Linked DNA regions of Rhinolophus ferrumequinum. The protein of the gene in region 2 interacts with the protein of the main gene of each other region in a pairwise test. Links are inferred from orthologs where the notes say so. Each region holds a gene or a part of one and is shown on either strand. Other genes may lie near its edges.

Region 1 (7,154 bases), on a different chromosome or scaffold from region 2:
TTTGAGCACTTGCCTCCTCCACGACAGCAGCCTGGGAGCCACAGGGAGGAGAAATAACGAGAACTGGATGCAGTTGGGTTTCTGGTTTTTTAAGTGACTTCGATATATTAACACAGAGCTGTTCTACCATAACAAACAGAAGCACATTACAGGACGGACGCTGGGGATGAGAGGAAACACTGCTATGTACACACCCGAGGCGCCGGCCTGCGCCAACGGACCCAGCCTGCGCCGTCCGGCCCTCGCCCCTCAGCTCCTGGGCTGGGAATCGTTATTGTGTATGTGTGTGTGTCTTTTTTGTACAAAATCTGCACGCAGAGCACCCCAGGCCTGGGGAGGGATGGCCCGGACCAAATAAAACACAGGAAAAAAAATCAGAAATATAGCGATTCAAGTACTGGCTTCTCTGAAGAAAGGAGGGGAAAAATCACATTTGTGTGTGTCATTTATTTCAGTTGCGCTGGGAGAAGAGAACACGGCTTCTCTCCCCGCCTCCTGCTCCTCGATGGGTAGAACTAACTCTAAAACACCAATTTCTCAACACTGAACCCTCCCAAATCGCAAGAGTTTTCTTTTTCCCCTTCCTTTTTTTCCTTTTTAAGCTGATTGGCTTTTCTCTATCTTGCTTTTTCCTTTTCTTTTTCGTGCTCTCTCCCGCCTGGGTTAGGGTTTTTGTGGGGTTTTTTGTTTATCCCTTGGCTGTGCCGAGGCAGCAGGCCGGGGCAGGGTTTAGGATTGCTCCTTGTCGGTTTTCTCTTTATTCATCTTTTTCATCTTCATCCTCCGGTTCTGAAACCAGATTTTGACCTGCCGCTCGGTGAGGTTGAGAACCCGGGCCACCTCATACCGACGGTCCCTGGTTAAATACATATTGAAGAGAAACTCCTTCTCCAGTTCCAGCGTCTGGTACTTAGTGTAGGGGCAGCGCTTCTTCCTTGTGGAGCGGGCGTGGATCCAGTTGGCCACGGGGTTGCCTGGAGGGCCAGACACAAGCAGAGGTCAGTGGAGCCCCTTTCCAGCCCAGGATCCCAGCCACCCCATCCCCCAGGCTTAGCCAGGATCCCCAAACCCAATAATTGAACCTGAATTTGGACACGTTTTGCTTTAGGAATTTTCCCTAAACACACACTCCTTTTGCGTTCTGCCCCCTCCCCATCCTCCCCCCTTCAGTTTCCAGCACCTAAAACTATAGGAAATCGAAGCTATCAAAGACCCTACAGTCTGGTCCTCAGCTTCAAGAGTAGTAATTCGAGAATATCCTCATAAAAAGTCCAAATTCCCGACCGTTTCATAGGCCCATAAACGCTTCTCTCTCTTGTTTTTTATTTTTATAGCGAGGTCTCTCTCCTCCCCACTTCCCTCCTCCTTTGCCCCCTCCCATCCTCCCAGCCCACAACCAAGTCCTGAAATTTCAGCAGTTCTGCTTCCTGACCGTGAGAGTACCTAAGCCCGTCACTACCCTCTCCAGTGCCTGTCTCCGCTGTATGAGTTCAACCCTGCTGAGGCGAATTCTCAGGGTGATGCTGGGCTGGGGAAAAGCCTTTTTCCTCTCCCTAGAGAGCTGCTGGCCTTGGGAACAGGCCCCCCTATATCTTAGCTTCCCTGTTTGGCTTCCAGTGCCCCCCTCCTGCCAGCCCCAGGACAGGCTCTGCAGGAGTCAAGCCTCCAATTTCAGGTTTATGGGAGTAGCTGAGGGCAAGGAGGGAAGGCTCAGAGAGGTATAATTAGGCCCTGGCCCCTTATGGGGCTGGAGGAAAGGATTTCCTGGAGCCCCCTCCTGGGACTCCCCCAGACACTTCCTCACACCCAGGGGGCTGCGCCCCCTCCCCTGCTGTTTCCCTTCTTTCTCCTTTCTCTGGCCCTGCAGCTCCCACCTGCCCCCCCCAACTACCCCTGCTCTTCTCTGCAACACTTAGAAGGCTCTCAGCTCCCTGATTGGAGTGTGTGTGTGTGTGTGTGTGTGTGTGTGTAGTTCTCTAATCTGGGGAGATGTCTCTCCCCATTCCTCAGCCCTGAACCTCCATTCTCAACCCTCTCGCCTGCAGACCCTCAAAAAAGGGCTTTCAAGTTTAAAGAGACTGGGACCCCACTTCTCTCCCCCAACTCTGGAGGTCCTGATCTCTCCAAGTTCCTAGGCTGTGAAATCCCCCAGACCCTTCACTCAGTGCTCCTGGGAAAGAAGTCCATGGACCTCCTGTCTTATGAATCTCTAGTGGGGTGAGGAGCCCCATGCTAGCTGGGAGGTAGTGGGGATTTTTCTCCCTGGGGTATCTCCTCTCTGCCCCCAGTGTCCTCCTCATCTCTACTCCATCCCACCTCAAACCATAAAATGAACCTCGCCCCCACCCCAATCCCTGGCCCTGTCTGCATTTCTGCATTTCTTCGAAAGTAGCGACTGAGCCAAAAGCCTGGGCTGGGGATGTGGGGGCGGGGGTCTCTTATCAAAGCCAGCTCCTGGGAGAGGAGCCCCTTCAGCCCTCTCCCAACCTGGCTCCTTGGGCCCCCTTCTCAGACCTTCCTGCCCCTAAAAGCTCCCCAAGGTAATTCGCTTTTATTGAGTCCTCGCCCCCTCGCCCTCGCCCCTCTCCCGCGCTCCCTGCGCCGCTCCGAGGGGCTGTAATCTGGCTCCCCCCGCCTGGCCTCCCCTCCCCTCCCGCGCTGGTTGTAAAGGAAAATTGCTCCCAACTTACTGGGGTCCAGGTCGGCCTTCTCCTCTTTGTGCTTGCTGCCGGCGAGGGCGTCCGCCTCGGGCGAGGGCAGGGTCTGCGGGGCGCGGTCGCGCAGCTCCCCGGGCGAGCCGTACATGTAGTCCGGGTAGCTGCGGCCGTCTCCCGGGCCGCAGTCGGCGCGGCGCCCGGGGTAGGCGTCCGGCTTGAGGGCGTAGTGACGACCCCCGGCCGGGAAGCTGGGGAAGGAGACGGCGCCGGACAGCGGCTCGAGCCAAGTCCGCATGTAGCGCGTGTCGGCGCCGAGGTGGGGCTGGGGGCCGTACGGGTGGTACACCACGGACGACTGCGAGGGCACGGGTGCCCACGACGTGCTGAACACGGCCGGCTTGGGCGCGAAGCTACAGGACGGAAAATCGCTACAGTCCGGCACCAAGCCGCTGGGTCTGGCGGCGGCGGGGTGAGCCCCGGTGGCCGGAAACCTGGACGCTAGGAGGTCTTCATTGTCGTGAGAGATGAGCGAGTCCACGTAATAGTTACTGATGGGCCCCGTCGCCGACATCGTAACGGGGTTTTACATACATAAGATTATTGTATGAACTGTATATGTACTTTTTATCTGCTCACAGAACAATCAAGGCAGGTAATTATTTTTCCAGCCTTTTCCCCGCAGCTCATTGGCTCCCCGGCCCCCACGTGATCGTATTTACCCAAAAATACGGCGCGGATCAATGCGCAGGGGCTTTTTTTTTTTTCTTCCTTTCCACCCCCCCTTCTCCCACCCCCTTCTCTGCTGATCCCCGCGACCTGCGTTTTCCTGGGGGTCCAGAACTCTGGACCCAAGGCATCGGCCACCCCCTCAAGACAACTCGTATCTCATCAGAGAACCCCCTTGCCCCTGTCCACCATAAGCAGATGGACTCCCGCCCCCAACCCCAGGAGGATTTCTTAATGGGGTGAAAATGCCAGTCCCCGAAGCCAGGGTTCCCGGACCCCCAGGGCTGAGCTGGGCGCGGGAGCCCCGCAGGGGTGCAGAGGCCGCCGAGGTAGGTGGAGGAACTATTTCTTGACGTAATCCGTCTCTGTCGGCCCCAACGCTCCCGCAGTCTCTGCGCGAGCCGAGATCAGCGATTGTCAGTTCGGAACGTGGCTTTTAAAAATGCGTTTTTAAATAGTGTGTATGTATGTATTTCTTTCCGGAGCAGCAGCAGCAGTGAGGGAGGGAGAGTGGGAGGGGACTGGGGAAGCTGTGAGGTGGAGGGAGGGAATGAGGAAAAGGGGAGAGTCCTTCTGCCACTGGCCAATTCAGCCCCCCAAATCTGGGGTAGGAGAAGCTTAGGGAAGGTGGTCCGCGGGTGGGAGGGGTAGGACCTCTGGACCTCACACACCTTTATCATCAGAAGTCTTCTCTTTGCTTTGGCACAGATAGTCAAGCGTCTTTATTTTAAATTTATTGTCTATCTATCTTTCTTTGCCAGCTTGAAGAAGTGGAGGAGATATCTACACAACTTAAGTGGGGCACCCCATCCCATCTTCCTGCTCACCCTCTTTTGGCCCCAACTCCATCTCTGCGACACTGCCCCCCCAAAAAAGAAGTCACCCCTGGGTTCAGTCTGCAGAGAGCCAGGGTGAAAGCGGGCAAGGCAAGAGAGCGACCTCGGTCGTGGGCAAGTAGCTTGTTTTTACGTCCTTCAATAAAATTTTTATGAGGATCATTTGATTGTTCATAAATGTGTCTTTCATTAAATAAAATTGTAGGCTGTTTTTGGAACGGGGAAAAAAGCAACTGAGGGATGGGAGAAAGCAGTTTCTTTGGGGTCGGATACAAGAATTCTGGAGCAGCAGTGTGATTGTAGGGAAGATCAGACAATTTGGATTCCTCCCCCAATAAGTTGGTTGCTACCCTCCTTCTTGAATTTGGGGTTCTGTGCCCAGCCCTCTGCTTTCCCTCAGACTGTCCCATGGTGGTTTAGGAAAGGTGAGCTTTAGGCAAGCAGGAAATTCTCAGTGTGGGTGCAAGAGAGGGGGCAGGGAGGTTGGCTGGAAGGGTGAAGGGGAGGGCAGGTGATGTCCCTAGAGGCAGATGCATCCTAGGCATAGCAGAGTGAGTTTGAAGGAGGGGTGCAATTTCAGGGTCAGAAAGGAAGAATCCCAGTTTGCACTAGAGGAAACAAGCAGGAGCTGAGACTGAGACAGGCTCTGAGGCAGCAGGGAAGGATGAGGCTTCCCAGACCCGAGATGCCTGCCCTTTTTTCCCACTCCTGTCCCCAGAAGGGGACCAAACGACAAGGGTAGGAACCCAGGCTGGTTTTCTCCTGCACCCATGTGGACCTATCTCTTCAGGGGTGGAGAAGGGCTAGAGAGAGGTGTCCCAGAGAGTGTAGTATGTGTGTGTGAGGGTGGAAAGTTGAGGGGGGGAAGGGTAGATCTGAAGCCCGCAGCACTGACCCCAGCTTTCCAGGACCCCTCCCCAGTCCCTGCTCCTCCCCCTCTCTAGTTCTTTCCTTTTCGGTCAAGCGGGGCTGGGATTTCGACATACTGAGGGATGTGAGAAGTGCCTGGCTGAGGAAAGGAGACGCGGGGCCTCAGCCTCCTCACCCTCGGCTCCGATTATCTTCCCTTCTCCTAGACTGGACTGGTCTGTAAAATCCAAATTACAGCAAGAAACAGAATTTCTCTTTGGCCTTGATGGAGTCGGGTTAGCTGTCAATCAAAAATTCTCCCTCACTAGTTCAAGGAAAAGACAGGAGGTTCCCGTTCCCCTGCCGAGGCTTTCTCCAAATCCCCAGCACCTTCAGCACCGCTGGCTGGGGACCCTGCCCAGCTCTTTGACAGGCCTGGGGCAGACTGCAACCAAGAGGACATCAGGGGACAGAGCCTGAGAGAGACTGAGCCCGAGACAGCCTGAGATAGAACAACTGAAACACGGCGCCAGGCCCATAGAGGGAAGAAAGGAAGGAAAGAAGGAAGGAAGGAAGGAAGGAAGGAAGGAAGGAAGGAAGGAAGGAAGGAAGGAAGGAAGGGAGGGAGGAAAGAAATGGAGGATTAGGATAAAAAGGAGAGGGGAGAGTTAAAGAAAAGAGGGGAGGCAAGATGAAAAGAGATAGGAGAGCAGGGGAAGGAAAGCATGCAGAGAGGAGCTGGAGGAAGGGCGGTGATAGGCAGGCAGGATGGGGTAGGGTGAGAGCTGGCGGAGCAGCCGTGGCATTGTGCAGTCCGCTGCTTGCTGGGCCTTTGCCGGGGACCGGCTCAGGCGCAGCGGCCACTTCTGTCCGGACACAAAGGAGGAAGAGGCCTCCTCTCTTGCCCCTCCCGGGCAACCTGCTCCTGTGGGTACACTAGGCCTCAGGGATGTAGAACCCCATCTCAGCCCAGGCAGCCACCCAGCAGCTTGGGACTGAGCCGCGCTCTAGTCAAAGAGCAAAGAAGACATGACTGAAGGAGAAGGTTTTATGTCCTGCTCCACTTTTACGTCTTCACCAGGCAACAGGGCCCATCTGCCCCAGTCATAGTTTTCCTAGAAGAAAGATACCCCTTAAAGACCCTCTTCTATGGGCCTCTACTATTTGGGAGAGCTCCTCAGACACAGTGACTGTAAAGAGATGCCCCTTTCTCTCCTTTGGTCACTGCCTTCTTTTCAACTCTTGAGCAGCCTGCCCACTCGGTCTGCCCACCCAGCAGAGGCAACAGGAGCAGGGCAGCCAGCATCACTCAGCCCACACTCCCTGCTGCCATCAAATTCTCCGTGAAACTGAGGGGAGATTGTCACCTTCGTTTCAGAGGGTGAACTCAGACCCTCCCCACCCCAGCACAGGCACAGCTGTGGATCAGGAGGTAGGCCTCGCCCACAATCCCCTCCCCACCCATGCCCCATTTTGCCAAGGCCTTGCTGAGAGAGGCAGCCTTGGGGAGGGGGGCTAGAAGAGGCTGGGAGCCCCTGAGTTCAGCAGGCCAAGGTTCCTGGGGTTCCACAACTACATGTGGCTTGTACCCCCTTCTCTGCATGTGGAGGTGGGGTAACAGGTCAGGACTCTGCAGCAGACCTTCAGGCTCCCCCAGATCCAGACCTGTAGGTATGGGGGCGCACGGATGTGGACGCACAGGGATGTGGAGGCACCAAGGTACACCTTGTCTTCCCAGGTTCAGTTACTCCTGCTGACTCTCCTGCCAGATTCCAAGACTCCCTCTCAGCCCCACCACTGCCTTCAATTTTCCTCAGCGAGGATTGGGAAAACCGGAGAGACTAGAGGCCACTGGGAGTCCCTGTTAGGGAGGGGGGAGCCCCAGTTTTAGCTAGCCGCTCTGCATTTACTCTGGTTTTTAGAACTCCCCTCCACCCCCAAAAGATTTCACTGGGCACAGGAGAGCCCCCTAAAGGAGAGGAACACCCTTACTCCATCACCTCAAACCTGGGCAGCTGTGACCATAACCAAGCTAGCACCACCATGGGAAGGACAGACAGAAAGACTGACAGGTTACAGTCATCCC
Region 2 (7,154 bases):
CTATTTTGAGAATAAATTAAAGGGGAGCACGGGTAGCAGACCAGTTAGGGGCTTATGGCTACAATCCAGCAGGGAGAACCAAGACAATGGCTTGCTAAGTAGAGAGATAAATGTGCCTCCTTAAAACTCTATCTGTGTAGTTGGAGGGAAGAACATTAAAGGGGGAATCTTCCCCTGGGTTCAAATTTCAGGTCTGTATTGCTGGTGATTTCATGTACTAGTGCATAAGGAAGACTCAGAATATTATAGTTCAAAAACACCAGATATGAAGAGCATCTCCTTAATTCCTCTTAAACTAATTTCATTCTTAGCAAGCAACCTTCTAATTATAAAGTAGACTTATCCATAGGAATGGGATACATATATCAGCAAATAACTAGCATCTGTTCTACTTGGTGGTTTTTAACTCTAACCAGAAATTAATAAGTTGGATTTCTGGTGTTTTCATACATCCTCTTTTCTGAGTTTCGTTTGTTTGTGTTGGTTTCCTAGAGCTTCCTCATCTCTGGGTATACTAATAATTGAATTTCTTAATATATTAAGCAGCAAAGAAGACTTGCAAAGTGGTGACCCTAACACGTTACCCCGAAAAGACTTGTCTGAGCTGCCACCTGGCCTTGCCCAGGTGATCTCTGGCCTTATTGACAGTAATATCAGAATATCCCATGTGAATTAGGGAATACTCTATTACTATGCCCTCATTAGGAAAAAAAAATCGTTCTCAAAGGCTTATTTTTCTAGGATGATTTTCTTAAGTCTCCTCCCCTTTCCAAAATAACCACCTTTAAGTGATCACTGCGGGATTTTTGTTGTGGTTCTTTCTTGGATATATGATTGTCCTTTCACATCATTTTTTGTGAGCTACAATTCATTGTCATAAATGCATGCAAACATCTATGTTAAAAGCACTCCAGTAGATCAAAAGTTACCGGCAAAGGGCTTGTGTCATCCTGAATGGAAAGGGTCTCAGCACAGTTACTCTCCTTTCTGGAACACTGACCCACGGGGAGAGGAGCTGGGCTGGAGTATTCACTGCTGTCCTGGAGGGTGGAGCTTTCCAGTTCCTCCAATAAAGCATCTATATCACAAGACACAAAAGAATCATGATATAGAATGTGTAAGTCTTCTGGAATAATTTTCCCCTTAAATAGCCCCATTGTACCTCCATTCATCTCCCTCTTCTCTTGCAGAAAGGCTATTTTCAAACATCTTCCCTTACTCAAATGCTGTGACCTGTTTCTTATTTCCTAAGGTTTCATATGCTCACTTGATAATTTGACTTCTTTTATTGCAAGATAATAATTTTTTTAATTAAAGTTTATTGGGGTGACAATTATTAGTCAAGTTACATAGATTTCAGCTGTACAATTCTGTAGTACATCATCTATAAATCCCATTGTGTGTTCACCACCCAGAGTCAGTTTTCCTTCCATCACCATATGTTTGATCCCCTTTACCCTCATCTACCACTCCCCTTCCTTCTTACCTTCTGGTAACCACTAAACTATCGTCTGCGTCTATGAGTTTTTGTACAACCGAAATGTCCTTCGATAGATGAATGGATAAAGAAGTTGTGGTATATATACACAATGGAATACTATTCGGCGGTAAGAAAAGATGAAATAGGACCATTTGTGACAACATGGATGGATCTTGAGATTATAATGCTAAGTGAAATAAGTCAGACGGAAAAAGTAGAGAACCATAGGATTTCACTGATATGCAGTATATAAGCTGAAAACAACAAAAGATATTAATTTTTATCATTCATTTGGGGGTGGATTACCCATAAAAATCCCCAATGAGGAAAAAAGTAAATCTTACATATTTTTTCTTTCAGAAAAATATAGGCAATTATATTACAGTTTTTCCAGGATAGTAACAATATATTCCAGGATAGTAACATTTATTCTTAAGCCTGATGATTTTTTTTCTTATATTCCAAGCACATAACAAAATTATCAAAGCAAAGATGAGTGGTCTGTCTTTTAGGGTGTGGGGAGAAAGGGAGATGGAGAAAAAACAGATGTTACAAAATTAAGCAAGATGTTGCAATCCAAATTGTTGAGATTGCTTCTCCTGTATCTTCTTGAGAAAAACCAATGGACTTTACAAGTATTACATTATTACCTTTCTGTTATGGTGAAATTAATAATAACTAGTAAAATTAACACATCAGGCACTAGGTCAGGAATTTATATATTTAATTTACTCATCCTAAGTCTTTGAGGCAGGTGATATTATTATCCTTATTTTGTAGATCGAGAAAGAGAGGTCACACGGCTGTTGAATGCAGAAACTGGCTATCTGGCTCCCAGGCCCTGCATTAACTTCAAGTCAGAAATTCCAGTCCCCACTCTCACGTAGAGTAGAAGAGTAGATGGTTGCCCTTAGAAGCACCTGCTAGTCGAAGTTACTGGAACTCTCCCATCTGGGTCATGAGTTAACAGGCCTTTCTCTTCCTGTTTCTTGAGTGCACATATCCCCAACAGCCCAAGATTATCTTGCCTTTTGCCAGATTCCGTAATTTGAAAATGACTAATTTCAGTATGACAAATAACAGGATGACTGGTTGGGGGGGAATACTAGCCTGAAATCTCTACAATCCTTCTCTGTAGCCCTTCATCTGTAGAAATCAAATAATTATCAGTATTAATGTGAAAGGAGTAAGGTGAGGTCTCTTGGAGGTTTCAGTGGGTTGTAATGATCTCATTTAGAGCAGAGTCTGCTCCTGGTTTCCCCTTATCTAGCATGCCCTTGTAATGAAGCAGAGAAGAAATATCGGCCTGTCCTCCACACTGTTTCTCCACAGCAGGAAGACAGACTCACCCTAAGTGGGCTGATGACAATTTGAAAAAGTAGTTGAGGTTTAGTCATCTGAATCAGCTACAGGAAATGTGTGACCTTCCAGGCTGCTTGGTACTTTCTACATTTCTGACCAGATTTCTCTACCATTCATCCTGCTCAGAAAACGCGAAACTGTGTAAATATCTATCTATCTATCTATCTATCTATCTATCTATCTATCTATCTATCTATCTTATTCTGTCGTCTGAAGTACCTGAGCCAACACACTTCTAAAATGAGAATACCTTGTAGCTTACTCTGTTGTGTCAGGTGGTCCTGACAGTGATGCTTAACTCTCCTTAGTTTTCTAAGAGAGTGATGTTTGCTTTCCTTAGTTTTCTCATTTGAGGAAAAAAAAAAAAAAAGTGGACCATACCCATTTTAGAGGCTTGCGTCAGATACTAACTTGATTAACATATGTAAAAATGTCTAATTTTAGCTTAAGTCACTGAATAAGTATTAGTTCCTTTTTGAATTACCTACATGAAAGCCATTAGGAATCCCTAAAATAAAAAGCAGAGCTGGACTCTAGTAGATCTCAGGTAGAAATGTGCAATTCCCCAGCCCTCACACAGGATAAGAATTTGAATTCTCCCCAGAGTCCAAAATATATTCTACCCCAAGTATCAAAACAGACTTTACCTCCGAAACAGTTCAATACGTATTTATCAAACACCACCTTTTCCTCTTTCTTCTTGTAATTTGCCTTCCTTCCTATATTCCTTCAGCTCTCAAATTATACTCAAAACAATTTTTTAAAAAGACAATATGCTAGATACGCTTTTTTGTCATTGTTATTTACACTTTTGATATACCTCAAATATACCCAAACCGAGGACACTGTGGAATTAATACAGCTTGGAAATTGGGTTAGTGACTCAGTGTTAGCATGGTAGCCAGCAACAAAAGTTGGCAAAGGATATGGAACAAGTCCTAAAAATGACAAACCTTTCATTACTCCAAATTTTGAAATCAGGGATCTCTCTCGAGCAATGTGGCCAATAGTTTCACTGCTAGTTTTAATTGCTTTGGAATGGAAAGTGGTGTCATATTTGCAGGCCATAGTAATCTGTTCTTTCAGAGTTCCTCTGAATAAATAGCTTAGCAACAAAATCACTGGAGTGCTGTCTTCTTGATTTAATACTAGATCTTGAAGCAAATGAAACCACCCTGGCCTTCCTCCAACCTTTGTGAATCCCTCATTCTTGTACTATGTCTTCTCCTCATAACACCCTTTTCTTTCTTTTTTCCCTCAAATCATCTCTGCAGTTGTCAACTGTGGATCACCCTACAATCTCCACTAGCCCCCAAAGAGCAAATGCTCATAATAAAATGACAACTTCAATTACAATTCAATCCAAAAGTATTTGTAACGGAGTTTACTCTGTGGTTAGCACCAAACTCTCCGTCTTTTGTGCCACTGAAAACAGTGAACCCGTATTTTCCCCAAACAATAGTAGTTCCTTATGCTTCTTTCTTGTTTGGGCTGAGGTCAGGAGAGAAGTGAAAATGAAATCTTCCGGCACTACCCTCCATCTAGCTATTAGTACACCCCACCACACATGGAGATGGTAGCCAAGTCTTTATTCTCTCAGAGTTTCTCCTCCAAGAAGCTCCTCACTCACCCAACTCTTCCATTGTCACACACCAAAGATGCTCTGGTCCCACAGGTTGTGAGGAACTGCTTTGGCATGTGCTGAAGAAGAGGACCGCAAAGGAACTGAACGAGACAGTGTGAAGCAGCCTCTATAACCATTTTTGGTTCCTGTATTTGCTTAGCACTTCCTCTCTTTTGATTTGGTGAGGTTTTTTTTTTTTCTTTTTTGTAGGTCAAAGTTTTAAAAATGAGACTGACATAGAAAGACGGGTACTAAAATTGGAGTTCTGGTGGTGCATTGGCCAGGGTGATGAAGATTCAAAATTAATTTTGAAAAATTTGAGCACTGACTATGTGCCAGAATTTATTTTGAATTCATGGAAATGGCAGACTTACACTTGTGTTTTTTCCTACTGTGGGTATCCCACTGTGACTGTACATCAGGGAGTCTGCTGTGTTTTTTTTTCTGTGACGCTGGGGGATCATGGAAGCATAGTCTCCTTCATAAGATTTCCATCAGAGTTAACTAGCACCCAATTCATTTTGCTGTCTTTATTTACTTATTCAGAAATTATGTTTACCTGATTTCTTGAATAGATTGTAAATCCATTAAATGTGGCAGAGACATATTCACATTTGAATTCTCCAGGCCTGGTTTATTTCAGTGGTCCAAAAGGCAAATAACTATAGGGGTCATAAAGAATGAAACTGGAAGATTTAGGACACCAGGTGCTAAGCTGCTGACATCCCAATTAAGCATAATTCCTGCCTAGCTACATTGCTTTATAGCAGTTTTCTGAAAAGTGATGCTGGGGTTAACTTTCACCTTTATTTAAACCACTTATTTTTACTCACCTTGAATGAAATAAAACATTTTCGAAGGCCTACTATGGGAAGGCAGTATGTAAAGAACTATAATTATGGCCCCATGAAATAGATATCCCCATTTTTACCAGTGGTGAAATAGATTCAAGGAGCAGTAACTTGCTAAATAGAATTAATAGGTAGCTTTGCTACTACTAAATCCACATTTAACTTCAAAGCCTGTGAACTTTACAACACAATCGTCTTTCTTTTTTTAGGTGATCTAAAGGAATCCACTCATTCTCTATTCCCTAGTGACTCCTAAGATATTATTTACTGTGGCCAAGACATGGAAAAAAACAAAGTGTCCTTCAATAAATGATTGGATAAAGAAGATGTGGTACATATACACAATGGAATACTATTCTGCCATAAGAAAAGATGAAATACTGCCATTTTCCACAACATGGATGGATCTTGAGATTATGCTAAGCGAAATAAGTCAGAAAAAATCGAGAACCATATGACTTCACTCATATGTGGTATATAAAACTGAAAGCAACAAAGGAATAAACAAACAAACAAAAATTCATAGACACAGACAACAGTTCAGTGGTTACCAGAGGGTGAAGGGGGTCAAATATATGGTGATGGAAGAAGAACTGATTTGGGGTGAACACACAATGTAATATATAAATGATGTATTATACAGATGTACCTTTGAAACCTATGTAATTTTACTAACCATTGTCACCCCAATAAATGTAATAAAAAGACTTTAATGGAGATTCCCACTCTGCATTACTTTGAGCAGCCATTGGATGTCAGTGCTGTTCCAAAAGTCTGCTCACTGCAAACATGAGTTTGAAAAAATTCCTATCCACACTGCGCCAGTTTTTACAATTGAAATGCCATTAGCCCCATGAAAGTGCAAAAACACTCAATAGAAAATAGAAAACATTTGCCTAATCTGAAGTGGTAACTTAGCCAAGACACTGGAAGGAAAAATGCACTTCAGTACTTGGCTTGCAAATATTGGACTGTGTCTGCAGTTTAACTGAATGATTAATGTGAAATTCAGAATTGGATCCCCAGATCTTGTTTCCATCCGCTTTCTTGAAGGCATTTTACCTCCGGATACTTTATTTTCCAGGGGTAAGAAACTGGTTCTGCGAATCACTCCTTGATTATAATGGATGAAAGGAAGAAAGGAAAGAATGTGAGAGGCCCACTGCCATCACCAAATGCCAACTTGTAAATAAGCAAATGGAAACTCCCGTTTAACGCTTTAGGACGATTTAGTTGCACACGCTAGTGGACGTAAGAGAAATTCTGACAAAGCTGCTAATCTGGCCTTGCTTCCTGTGCAGCAGAAACATTTAAAAACCGTAGAACCAGGTGGCTTCTGAGCTGGGAGCGTGAGGGAGGGGAGGTGAGGGAGGGGAGGGAGGGGAGGGAGGGGCGGGGAGGGAGGCGTTCAGTTTTCTCCGGGTTGGTGACTCCGGTCATACTAACAACTTCCCTTCAGCCCAGGGACCACAGCCAACTTAAGCAGCCAACGCCAGCTCCGTGGTCTCGACAATGTCTGGTAGAAACGCAACTCCACAATTCTTTCCGCAAACTTTTATTAAGAATCAAATGTGGTGGGAATTTTGCTAGGGCCCCCAGGACTCGACGGAACCATTTTGTCCCTGACCTCCAGGGGCTTACAGGTTAGTAGGTCAGACACAGGATGACGAGACGAATATTGCTGATATGAATGCTAGCCCCAGAGGAGGTGCCATGTAACCAAAACCAAGGTAAGGGCTGTTACATGACCACCCCATACATGCTTCGCCAACGACAAATAAAAAAGTAGGGAAAATCTTCCCAGGAAAACCGGATCAGGAACGGGCTCAACTTTTGC

What was found.
Region 1: the proteins of LPXN (region 2) and HOXC9 interact in binary tests that used the Homo sapiens proteins (3 or more experiments, as listed by UniProt). The two-hybrid records come from large-scale screens. The link is inferred for Rhinolophus ferrumequinum from reciprocal best matches to the Homo sapiens genes LPXN and HOXC9.

Annotation. Positions count from the first base shown.
Region 1 is NC_046293.1:53,785,571-53,792,724, reverse strand, and holds HOXC9 (homeobox protein Hox-C9), read right to left. Parts: upstream 4,872-7,154; 5' UTR 4,861-4,871; intron 3,267-4,860; 5' UTR 3,229-3,266; coding exon 2,691-3,228; intron 975-2,690; coding exon 730-974; 3' UTR 79-729; downstream 1-78. UniProt on the Homo sapiens protein: Sequence-specific transcription factor which is part of a developmental regulatory system that provides cells with specific positional identities on the anterior-posterior axis.
Region 2 is NC_046294.1:10,984,187-10,991,340, reverse strand, and holds the start of LPXN (leupaxin), read right to left. Parts: upstream 4,612-7,154; 5' UTR 4,486-4,611; coding exon 4,473-4,485; intron 1,079-4,472; coding exon 930-1,078; intron 1-929. UniProt on the Homo sapiens protein: Transcriptional coactivator for androgen receptor (AR) and serum response factor (SRF). Contributes to the regulation of cell adhesion, spreading and cell migration and acts as a negative regulator in integrin-mediated cell adhesion events.